Sus scrofa: one gene and its partners. The protein of the gene in region 1 interacts with the protein of each later gene in a pairwise test. Links are inferred from orthologs where the notes say so. Each region holds a gene or a part of one and is shown in the gene's direction. Other genes may lie near its edges. The genes, in order: PDCD4, EIF4A2 and EIF4A3.

Evidence for each region.
Region 2: the proteins of PDCD4 (region 1) and EIF4A2 interact in binary tests that used the Homo sapiens proteins (3 or more experiments, as listed by UniProt). The two-hybrid records come from large-scale screens. The link is inferred for Sus scrofa from reciprocal best matches to the Homo sapiens genes PDCD4 and EIF4A2.
Region 3: the proteins of PDCD4 (region 1) and EIF4A3 interact in binary tests that used the Homo sapiens proteins (3 or more experiments, as listed by UniProt). The two-hybrid records come from large-scale screens. The link is inferred for Sus scrofa from reciprocal best matches to the Homo sapiens genes PDCD4 and EIF4A3.

Annotation. Positions count from the first base shown.
Region 1 is NC_010456.5:121,316,791-121,320,333, forward strand, and holds part of PDCD4 (programmed cell death protein 4), read left to right. Parts: coding exon 1-100; intron 101-1,859; coding exon 1,860-1,954; intron 1,955-3,509; coding exon 3,510-3,543. UniProt on the Homo sapiens protein: Inhibits translation initiation and cap-dependent translation. May excert its function by hindering the interaction between EIF4A1 and EIF4G. Inhibits the helicase activity of EIF4A. Modulates the activation of JUN kinase.
Region 2 is NC_010455.5:124,581,649-124,585,871, forward strand, and holds the start of EIF4A2 (eukaryotic initiation factor 4A-II), read left to right. Parts: upstream 1-1,413; 5' UTR 1,414-1,448; coding exon 1,449-1,477; intron 1,478-2,304; coding exon 2,305-2,350; intron 2,351-2,436; coding exon 2,437-2,569; intron 2,570-2,846; coding exon 2,847-2,986; intron 2,987-3,737; coding exon 3,738-3,906; intron 3,907-4,026; coding exon 4,027-4,136; intron 4,137-4,223. UniProt on the Homo sapiens protein: ATP-dependent RNA helicase which is a subunit of the eIF4F complex involved in cap recognition and is required for mRNA binding to ribosome.
Region 3 is NC_010454.4:2,284,186-2,288,492, forward strand, and holds the start of EIF4A3 (eukaryotic initiation factor 4A-III), read left to right. Parts: upstream 1-1,493; 5' UTR 1,494-1,509; coding exon 1,510-1,678; intron 1,679-4,117; coding exon 4,118-4,190; intron 4,191-4,307. UniProt on the Homo sapiens protein: ATP-dependent RNA helicase. Involved in pre-mRNA splicing as component of the spliceosome. Core component of the splicing-dependent multiprotein exon junction complex (EJC) deposited at splice junctions on mRNAs.

The DNA of each region.
Region 1 (3,543 bases):
GAAGGCCTTAGAAGTGGAGTAACTGTACCAACCAGTCCAAAGGGAAGGTTGCTAGATAGACGATCCAGATCTGGGAAAGGAAGGGGACTACCAAAGAAAGGTTGGTATATACCAGTCCAAAGAAACAAATGGAAAAAATTTTGTCTGATTCTTGTACTGCAGTTTCCTCGTTCTAGGAATGAGAGAAGTTTAAACAATGATGTAAGGCTTTATAGTTTGTGTATGTTTTTATATGGTAATAATCTGAGGACCATCCCACTTTTTCGTTAAGTTGAGCCTTTTTTGTTGTTTGAGTAGACTTAGTTTTTTGGAGCAAAACTTTATCTCTTATTTCTGGCAAAATACACACCAGTGTTTTTCATGGTTAAGAATTGTGCATGTATTCTCTAATTCTGCTTTAAAGAAGTAGGGTCAGAAATTCATCATATCTATTATATGGTATAGTAAATCTAATTTGTTAAGAGTACATGGTAAATATAAGTTTGATTAGTAATATCTGAATCAGAATTTTAATAATTTTATAGATCTGATTCTGATTTTTCTTTAGCTCTGTTTATTTTGAGTACTGGAATGGAATGGTCTTGTTTCACTGGTGTGTTTCCAGTGTCTGGAGTAATGACTAGCAATGTAGGTACTTAAAATATTTATTGAATAAGGGGTTTGTCAGCATTTGTCTATAGTAGGATTTTGATGGTTTGGAAATTTCACCAGCTCCTAAATGGTGGGAATGTCAAATTATCGCCCTAAGTGTTTTGTGCTGTGTCAGAAATTGCTGTTGTTGAATGGCTCTGCAACCATTGGTTGGGCTCAAATGAAACCTATTTACCAGATTGTTCTTTTTGCTCTGGTGGCAATGATTATACTGTATGTGTAAAATAACCTCCAAAAAATTGGTGTACTGTAAAGTTCTTTTTTTTTTTTTTTATCTTTTCTAGGGCTGCACCTGTGGCATATGGAGGTTCCCAGGCTAGGGGCCTAATCGGAGCTGTAGCTGCAGGCCTACGCCAGAGCCACAGCAACGCTGGATCTGAGCCAAATCTGCAACCTACACCACAGCTCATAGCAACACTGGATCCTTAACTGAGGCCAGGGATTGAATCCGCAACCTCATGGCTCCTAGTTGGATTCGTTAACCACTGAGTCACGATGGGAACTCCATAAAGTTCTTTAACAATAATGTAATATATTGAGCCTTAAGAAAATATTTCAGGAAGTTTATTTAGTAAAGCAACTTTAGAAGTTGGAATTGCTAAACTTTTGCTAGTCAGTTTATATATAGAAGTAGAAATAATGATGAATTCTGTTAATACTTAAATAGTAATTAGTTATTTTTAGGATATTGGTAGTTATAAAGTGTAATGTATCCTTTTACAGCTAAAGCATGTTTTACTGTCAAATGTCTGATGGTGGTCACCCTACTTCTTTGTTGAATAATTTCTCCCTTGTTGAGTTTTTTTGACACATCACACTGGATCAACATACTTTTTGTTTCCGAGAAATGTCAGATAAAATTTAGCTTAACTTAACCTGCCTTAAGATCCCTGATACAGCTATTTTTCTGATTTTTTTTTTTTGGTTTGTTATAACTTCTGTTTTAAAGCATCTGCCTTTTTATTTTTAACTTGGTATTTTGGAAACAGGTTATAAAATACATAGTATCTAATCATTAATGAAAAAGCAGTGATCTGAATAAAAAGAGGTGTAAAATATAACTTTAAACTAGCAAAAAAAGCATAGAAATAAAAATACATGTTTTTAGCTATTTTATTAATACCCAAATATCTAGAATTATTTAAGATTTCAATTAAAATTTATGAACTATAGACATTATGCTCTTTCCTTTCTCTAAACTTTTTCAGGTGGTGCTGGAGGCAAAGGTGTCTGGGGTACACCTGGACAGGTATATGATGTGGAGGAAGTGGATGTGAAAGATCCTAACTATGATGATGACCAGGTATAAGTCTTTTACTTTTTTTGATATCTAAAATGCTTATAAACTTTTTTGAAAATTTTTTTTGCTTATAAACTTTTTTGACCTCATGTTTATAGTATACTCATGTATTTGTCAAATCATGTATTCTATCTATATGCTATATCTGTCAAATCATATATTTATAATTTTATATATTATTATATATAATATATATGTAGTGTGAATGTGTATATGTGTACACATATTACACACATTAGTGTGTTTATCTACACTAATTCAGTACTTTCTGACTGTTAGGTTAATTTTGGATTGAGAAACTAAGTTAACTTTTAGCAGCGTAGTCATAATTTTCACTTGGTTTCTGAATTTAATAGTTGGATGTGGAAATATTTCTAACAGAACATGAAAACCAGTATATTTTAAAACCAGTAGATTCAAGTACTATAGAATCTTTGCTAAATATTCTAATTTTAATATAGTCTTGAAAGACTTGAAAGTATATGTCGTAGACTGAACCCAGTCACAAGTTGCATATAAGCATTTCAGGACTTTTTTTTACAGAGGAGAATGGGGATAGAAGATTATTGGACGTCTTATTCTTTTTGACATTTCAGTTAAATAGTACTTTTCCTTAGAGATTTTTGTCATCACTGCAAACATTGATTTTTGTAATAAGGGTTTTTATTATACTAATCATGAAGGCTTTGGTTCCTGTCTCCCCCCACCTTTTAAAGTGAAGTTTTTTTTTTTTTTTTTTTTTGTCTTTTGTTGTTGTTGTTGCTGTTGTTGCTATTTCTTGGGCCGCTCCCGCGGCATATGGAGGTTCCCAGGCTAGGGGTCTAATCGGAGCTGTAGCCACCGGCCTATGCCAGAGCCACAGCAACACGGGATCCGAGCCGCGTCTGCAACCTACACCACAGCTCACGGCAACGCCGGATCGTTAACCCACTGAGCAAGGGCAGGGACCGAACCTGCAACCTCATGGTTCCTAGTCAGATTCGTTAACCACTGCGCCATGATGGGAACTCCTAAAGTGAAGTTTTAATGAAAATAACAAATATGATAGGAAGCCATCTTTTTTTTTCTTTGCTTTTTTTGGAGCTTCATGTGCAGCATATGGAAGGTCCCAGGCCATGGGTAGTTCGGAGCTGCAGCTGCCAGCCTGTGCCACAACCACAGCAATACGGGGATTCTGAGCCTTATCTGCAATGTAAACCACAGCTCAGGGCAACTGGATCCTTAACCCACTGAGCGAGGCCAGGGATCCAACCTGTATTCTCATGGATAATAGTTGGGTTTCAGTTCCACAATGGGAACTCCGGTAGGAAGTCATCTTAAAACTTTTTTGGTCACTGCAGTATTTGTTTCTGTGGGAGAGATGAAAAATTAACAGAAGATATGGGGGATAAATGACATAGGTTCTGTTTTTTATGTAAGTAATCAAAGCATGTAGCATGTCTTCTTCTTGCCCTGAATGGGTGTTACTAACCAGTTGTAATGTAAAATTTAGAAACAATTTCATTTATCTGAATGTTTTACTCTTTAATTTATAAATTTCTTCCCCTTCTCCTTTCAGGAGAATTGTGTTTATGAAACTGTAGTTTTGCCTT
Region 2 (4,223 bases), on another chromosome or scaffold:
AGACAATGTATGGCATTATCACAAATTTGGACTTGAACATTATAAAGGGATGGTTAAGGAGCAGCATCACTAGACTGCAGGCGAAGACACTGTCATCTGGGTATTAGTTCTTGTCAGTTTCTGGCACAACAATTTTCAAGCAAATGATTTTTTTTTTTTTGGAAAAAATGTGGCATTTAGAAGCAAGCATCATACTGAATATAGTACACAAATATAGAAAATTAAGTCATTTTTCCTGTTATCAGACTTTATGTTGGCAGTCTGATTTAATGGTAAAAGGTTTTCTTGAGTAATTGTGATATTTTGCAGTATGGGTAGGATTGTATTTCAAAGTTAAATGACTATATATATTAATTTTTGTTTTGTTTTTACTAATGAGTATGGGTTAGGGCTATAGTTGAAAGCCTCTGGAGCTTTAAGGGTTACAATGCTCTCAATATCAATAAATCAACATTCATTATATATAAGCAATTAAAATTCAAAAAGCCTTTTGGAAAAAAAAAAAATGACCGGAAGCAAAACTTATGTAGTCCCAAAGCGGCACGGAGCTGTACTTGCCAGAAGCATCCACTTAAATTCCTGAATTACAGGAAAAATTACCCTTCTATTTGCCAGTTTACAATGATTTTATCAGGCATTGCTCACACCTGTTAAAATTTATAACCTTTATTTTTAAAAGGCAGTGAGAGAAGAGGCAACATAAGAAAGGAGTTGGCTACTCCAGAGACAATTTGCAGAGGACCCTACACATTTCTTCTCGCCCTGCACGATGTACGGTAAAGCGGATCTCCTGTGACACGCTGGGCGGCCGACATTTTCCGCAGCGCGAGTTTCACACTGTCAAGGTCTGTATGGATGTTAAACGCTCGTGTCAAAGGCCAGGCGGCTCTTTACCTTCGCGTTAAGTAGCGGCGCGAACAGGCGGAATAGCCCGATTGCCCTCCAGTGCGGAGTATGGCCGTGCCTACACCTTCCGCACCGAGCACGGCGAGCACAGCGAGGTTCCCTGGCTCGCCTGCGGAGAAACCGGGGCCACCCAGCTTCCAAGGGGCCCCGAGCTTCCGCCTCCCGGTCCTGCCCGGCGCCCCGGCCGCCTCTGCTCGAGGGACGCGGAAACCCCGTAGGAGCAGGGCGGGCAGGGAACGCGAACCTAGCTACTGCTTGCTGCAATATTCTTCCGCCGCGGGTCAAAGAGTCCCAACCTTCCCCCAGGGTCCTGGGATTTTCAACAACCCTGGAATATCGACACATAATCAAATTTGAATTTTCTTAATGATTTGCTTCGAATATTTTCTGAGATAAGCATCCCAGGATCACAATTTTGTGACTGGCCGAAGAGCGACAGTAAAATTCCTCCGCGGAAAACGGGTTCCGGCCGCGAGCCTATAAAAAACGGGTGGTGCGGCCCGGCTGTCTTTTCAGTCGGGCGCTGAGTGGTTCTTTGGATCATGTCTGGTGGCTCCGCGGATTATAACAGGTATGGCGCTCTCTCCGGTGGTTTTCTATGGTATGGTCCTAAGGCGCCAGAGGAGATGGTAGTAGGCGGTGAGCAGGAAGAGAAGCCCTGGTTCATAGGCGTTGCCTTGGGCCACGGTACTCCTGTGTCCTTCGAGAAGCTTCCATGAAGTGTAGGGCCCGGGTTGTGGGGAGACGAGACGAGGGTAGGAAAACGGGGTGGTTAAAGCGTGTCTTTCCCCGAAGGCGCATTTGAATCGCAGCCGCCCCCCTGCCCCTGCGGAGCCCGGCGTTTAGTGAAAGCCATGGCGCAGCCCGCGGTTGATAGAGTCTAATGGGGCTCGGAGGTTTATTCGCGGCCAGCGGCGCGGCTTGGGCGCGCTAGACGGTGGTGGGGTGGGGGGCAGGACGGCGACGGCGCCCACTGCCCGCGGCTGGAGGCCGGATGGGGCCGCGCCGGCCACGGGGTCCCAATGAGCCGTTGGCTCGCCTCTCCAGGCCTCGGCCCGCGTCAATCACCCCGGCTTGCGCAGTGTTAGGGGCGGAGCTCAGCGCGTGGAGCTCTCGCGAGACGGTCCGCCGCCGAGGGGAGCGCCTGCGCTCGGGCTTGGAGGGGGAGGGCCGGCGTCGGAGGGGCCTTTCCGGGTGTCCTCAGGTCCTAACCTTTGAGCGGGCGCGCGGGACATTGTGTGCCCTGCGGCATCAGCTTCTTCTGCGGCTTTGGGAAGTGGACTCGTGCAGGGGAGGGCGACCTCAAGAGACCGGTTGTGAAAGCGCTTTTTCGCCCATGTGCAGTTGAAGTGGGTTTGGGGAAGGGATTTTCTCTAACTGCAGTGTTTTTGTTGGCAGAGAACATGGCGGCCCAGAGGGAATGGACCCCGATGGTGTCATCGAGGTAAGAAACGTGTGTGGAATTTGAAACTCTGGGAAGGTAAGTGTGTTCGTCCCATTTATTCCTTTTTTTTTTGCCCAAACTTTCAGAGCAACTGGAATGAGATTGTTGATAACTTTGACGATATGAATTTAAAGGAGTCTCTTCTTCGGGGCATCTATGCTTACGGTTTTGAGAAGCCATCAGCTATTCAGCAGAGAGCTATTATTCCTTGTATTAAAGGTAAAAGAATTCGGCTGTTTTTAAAAATGAATTCACTCTTCTGCATAGACCTGGACCGTAAAAGGGAACGTATACCTTCTGGGGGACTAGCACCTATTTGTATTCCAAAAAGTGAAATGATGGCAATCATCTTTCGGGACTGACCTGAAATGAAGAGAATACTCATTGCTGATCACTTGATTATTTGGGCATAATTATGTTCCAAATGGAATACATGGTGTGACTAGAAGTGACGGTTTGCTGTGGGATCGGTAAATATGTATCCTACTTTTTTTAGGGTATGATGTGATTGCTCAAGCTCAGTCAGGTACTGGCAAGACAGCCACATTTGCTATTTCCATCCTGCAACAGTTGGAGATTGAGTTCAAGGAGACCCAAGCACTAGTATTGGCCCCCACCAGAGAACTGGCTCAACAGGTATTGATAGTGTAGTTCAAAAAAACTGCTTGCGTGTTGCATAGGTTTCAGGTTTCACAACTGTGGAGAATTTAAAAGCCTAGTATAAATTGGTCCTACAGAGCCCTCCTTTTAACTGTCCATGCATGCAGGGAGTTATTGTTGAAAGTTAAACAGGAACTGGGTGTGCAGGTATGGTTTGCAAGGTTGTGTAACAGATTGAGAAACTGAAGATTTCTGTTCAGGCTGGACTAGATCTTTTCTCATTTTAAGTTTGAATCCAGTTGTGCAACATGAAAGCTGCAGTGACATGTTCATTCATTTGACTGTCTCAGTATGTGATACATCTGTTGCATGCTGCGTTTTCAAAGCTCACTACTATATTGGCTTTGAAGTAAACCTTGCTAATACACTTGTAGTTGTTATTAAGGTCAAGATTATATGCTGCAGTACTTTGCGGGAAAAAGTTTGTTAATGATGATAAATCTTATTTACTCCTTCCTGCACAATACTAATGTAGGAAATGTTTTTCACTCTAAATAACCTGGTTGGTATCTGGGCAATAGGATCCCAAGTTTTGACAAGGCACAAGATATTTCAGTGAAGTTTATCCTGACAGTTATATCTGTCTGCATTTTTTTCAGCTTGAAAGTAGTTAGGTGCTCTGCATGCATTAAAGCTGTTTGCAGACCACATACTTGTCAATATGCTTTGGAAGTTTAGTCACAGCATGTAATGCTGCTGGATGATAATTAACGCTTTTGGCTTTCAGATCCAAAAGGTAATTCTGGCACTTGGAGACTATATGGGAGCAACTTGTCATGCCTGCATTGGTGGGACAAATGTTCGGAATGAAATGCAGAAACTGCAGGCTGAAGCACCACATATTGTTGTTGGTACACCAGGGAGAGTGTTTGATATGTTAAACAGAAGATATCTTTGTAAGTATTACTCCCTATTAGTATAGTTTGTTGGAGTATAGATTTTTTTTTTTTTAACTCTTAGGAATCAATAACATGCCTGATAGTCTAGAGATAATAGTACGACTTTATTTTTAACAGCTCCAAAATGGATCAAAATGTTTGTTTTGGATGAAGCAGATGAAATGCTGAGCCGAGGGTTTAAGGATCAAATCTATGAGATTTTCCAAAAATTAAATACAAGTATTCAGGTGAGCTTTATTTTCCCTCATTTTCCTGTAATAGCTGGAGGTTAGGTTAATGCAGGTACTGTTACAATACAACTGAAGTGTTCTATT
Region 3 (4,307 bases), on another chromosome or scaffold:
CTGGGAGTTCCTGTTTTGTCTCAGTGGGTTAAGGATCTGGTGTTGCTGTGAGCTGTGGTGTAGGTTGCAGAAGCTTGGATCCCAAATTGCTGTGGCTACTATAGGCAGGCAGCTGTAGTTCCGATTTGACCCCTAGCCTAGGAACTTCCATATGCTGCAGGTGTGGCCCTTTAAAGAAAAAAAAATTCAAGCTGCAGCTGTGACCAACTGTGGCAACCTGGGATACTTTAATCCACTGCACAGGCTGGGGACTGAACCCATGCCCTCCGCAGCAACTTACTCTGTGCCACAGCTGGAACTCTAAGGTTTGAGTAATACTGGCATTTTTTTTTTTCTTGCTTCTTAGGGTCACACATGCAGCATACGGAAAATCTCAGGCTAGAGGTCAAATTGGAGCTATAGCTGGCGGCCTACACCACAGCCACAGCTGTGCCAGCTCTGAGCCACATCTGCAACCTACACCACAGCTCACGGCAACGCCAGATCCTTAACTCACTGAGCAAGACCAGGGATCGAACCGTGTCCTCATGGATGCTAGTCAGGTTCTTAACCCACTGAGCCACAAGGGGAACTTCCCATACTAGCATCCTTATCAGGCACGTTTATCAGGTCAATTTTCTTGCAGAGTCTGGACATATTCTAAGGTCTGGGCCAGAGCTTCAGGAAAAGACCTCATTTACTTGTTTGCTGTCAACAAACTGCAAACCTCTGCACTCTTATGCCTGATTTTAATGGATAATATGATCACCCAGTTTTCACTGAATTAACCTTCACAACAGGAAAGCGTTTAAGCACTCCTGGAAAGAGGCTGTGAATTAAAGATATGCCCAGGATGGGAGCCAAGCAAACAATGAGAAAGGACGGAGCTGGCACTTGGGCAAGTACAAGTTTCACAAAGTTATCGCTGTTCTCACACAACACAGATGAACGTCCGTCAAGTGATGAAATCGGTTCAGAGGCCAGTTTTGCGGTACTTGATTTTAGAGGCACTTGAAGTTTTAGAGAAGCATGGCCCACGGGGCCATGTTTACACGGGATAATGAGCGCAGGCAGGGACCAGCACCCGGGTGCCTCCTCCCGGCAGGGGCGCCCTGGCGCACGCCGCAGCTCGTCTGCAGGAGTTCCAGTTCTACCCTGCCGCGCTGAGGAACCGGTAATGCGGCCAGGTAACCGGTAACCCTCCGCGCAACAGCCCAGCCCAGAGCCCAAGCCGAGGGACCCGGGCGAACCCCGGCGCCTACCTTACGCGGGTGCGGGGAGGGGCGGGGTGTGGCCAGGGGCGGGGCCCGCGGATCCCGCGGAACCCCTCCCCCTCGAGAGCTGCGGCACCGCCCCTTTCCCCTTTCACGTGACCAGGAGCTCCCCGCCCCTTCCGAGCGCGGCTCCGACGCACGCTCCTACGCAGGCACGCGCGCGCGATGCCGTCAGTTCCTGGCGGCGGCGACGGCGCGGCGCTCTACTTCCGCTTCCCGGTGCGGCGCGCAGTCGGTTCTCAGCCCGCTCGGCATCATGGCGGCCACGGCCACGATGGCGACCTCAGGCTCGGCGCGGAAGCGGCTGCTGAAAGAGGAAGACATGACCAAAGTGGAATTCGAGACCAGCGAGGAGGTGGACGTGACTCCCACGTTCGACACTATGGGCCTGCGGGAGGACCTGCTGCGCGGCATCTATGCCTACGGTCGGTGGGCGCGGGGCGCGGGCTGCGAGCGCCCGCCGGAGAGCATGGGCCCGGCCGAGGGCTGGGTCCCGAGACTGGGAGTGTGGCGGTCCTGAAGGTCGGGGATCCGGGTTGGGGCCGAGCCCGGGGTGGGTCACGGGTGACCCCTTCCCTCACCACGCGTATCCACCCCCATCTGTGCCGGCGGGTTCGGGTGTTGTCCTCCCGGCAGCGCGCCCTGCTGGGACCCAAGAGGGCTGCAGGGTCCTTTGGGCACTTGGGAGTCATTCATTCAGCGGATAACTGTCTTGTATCGGCCAGGTGCGCGGCTCTAGGTACTCGGGGCTTAGTAGGGAACCAGACAGGTTCGTGCCCTTAGTTAAGTTAGCTTAAGCCTTAGTTTAAGTTACATTTGGGAGGAGGACTGTATAATCGATGGTAATGGCTACGGAGAAAATTAAGCGGGATAATTGGTTCAAGCTGCGCGGAGGAGAGAGTTAAACTAGTAGAGCAAATAGGCAAGGTGGCTGCCAGTAGGGCCTGGCATTTGAACTGAGACTCAGCTAAGGAGCCCGTTATGAGAAGGTTATGTTAGAATTGGGCAGAGGGGGCAGCTGGTGCCAGGTCCTGCAGCCCGGAGCCGGGGACATTCCAGGAACAGAATCTCCTGTCCTCCCTGTGGGGAGGGAGGAGGGGGCCACATCTTGAAGAGTGAAGTCTGGGGTGATAAAGAGAGTGCATTTTATTTCTGAGTGCAGTGGGGGAGGCCATTGGAGGGTCTCATGCAAGGAAGCGACAGGACCATATTTAGTTAGAAGTGAATTGGGGTGTCTGATGTGGGTGGAGGTGAGGCGGGAGAGCAAGCAGGGAGATGCTAGGAGGCTTTTTGTTCCAGTCCGGGGGAGAGATGATGGTTTTCTGGTGGAGATGGATGTAAGCAGCAGAGGAAAATCCTAGGTGTGTGGCTGATGGGACCGGTGATGCTGCCCTCTGCTCAGGCAGGGAGTAATGGTGGGAGCACTTCTTGAATGAGGGGAGCTTGAGGGACCTGTGAGCCATCAGTTGTCCTAGCTGGGAGCCTCGGAAGAGGCGGGGTTGGGGCTACTCTCCGGAATGAGCAGCATCCGTGCTTAATGCCTGGGACTGGGGCATCTTTTTTATCCAGCAGTCCTTGAGTCAGGACAGTTTAGTGCAGAGAAGGTGCTGAGGGAACGGGAGGTGAACTATAGCAACTAAGCCTTGTAGTGAGGCTCACAGCCCACCTGCCTCTTGGGATCTAGGGCCTCCCTTCCCTGAAACACCTGCTGCGTCATCATGAGGGGTTTAAATCACATTAGATTGGCTTTTGTGTTAAGTGGGAAGTTTACTACATTTTAAAAGACTATGAGAATTATTTCATGTCCATTATTTGTACATGAAGTTTTGTTTACTCAGACAGTAGAGGGGTTGCAGTTCACGCAGCCGCATCCAGGGCAGGAGGGCATCCAGGGCGGGAGGCGTAGGTGACATTCGTTTTTAGATGATGTCACCTACCCAAAGACTTACTGCTGATAGGGAGTAGTGACTGACTGTGATGGGTTATTTAATTTAACAAGTGATGCCAAAACACCCCCAACAATGCAGGTTATTGTAATGAAGTCAAACAATGCAGTAGTAATGGAAGTAAGATGTGAGCTTCCCTCCCCCTGTTCTCCAGCAGTAACCACCTGTTAACTTTTTTTTTTTTTAAACCTAACTAGGGTCTCTGTTTGCAACAATGTTCCTCAGAGATTTTGTCTGTATAAATAAGATCATATGTTACTATAAAGAAAATCCACTGGAGTTCCCTTGCTCAGTGGTTAACAAACTCGACTAGTATCCATGAAATTGTGGGTTCAGTCCCTGGCCTGGCTCAGTGGATTAAGGATCCGGCGTTTCGGGAGCTGTGGTGGAGGTTGCAGACGTGGCTCAGATCCCAAGTTGCTGTGGCTGTGGCTCAGGCCAGCAGCCACAGCTCCCGTTCGACCCTTAGCCTGGGAACCTCCATATGCTGCAGGTGTGGCCCTAAAAAAAAAAATCCACAAAAGTCCACAAATCCTGCTTTGTTCAACAGCTGTTTTTTGAGAGCTCAGTATGTTGGACATTGCATCAGGAGGGTTTTTTTTTTTTTTAAAAAACATACCATCCTTGGAGTTCCTTCTGTGGTGCAACGGGATCAGTGGCATATCTGCAGCACCAGGATGTAGGTTCAGTCCCTGCCTGGCACAGTGGGTGAAAGTAACTGGTGTTGCCACAGCGGTGGTGTAGGTCACAGCTGTGGCTCAGATTTGATCACATACCCACGAACTCCATATGCCGAGGGGCAGCCGAAAGAGAAAGGAAGAAAGAGAGCCCATCCTTGCCCTCGAGGAGCCCCAGCGTCTGGTTGTAAGCATGCTGTCCTAGCGGTTAGAACTAATTGTTTTCTGCTCTAATTTACAGGTTTTGAAAAGCCTTCGGCAATCCAGCAGCGAGCTATTAAGCAGATCATCAAGGGGAGAGATGTCATTGCACAGTGAGTCTGCGGGAGCCGGGCCCGGGCCGGGCTGCTCAGCACAGCAGCGCCTTTGCGCTTCTCCTTCCGTCGCCGTGACCAGCCCTGGCCTTGCATTCAGCCATAGGCACTTTTTAT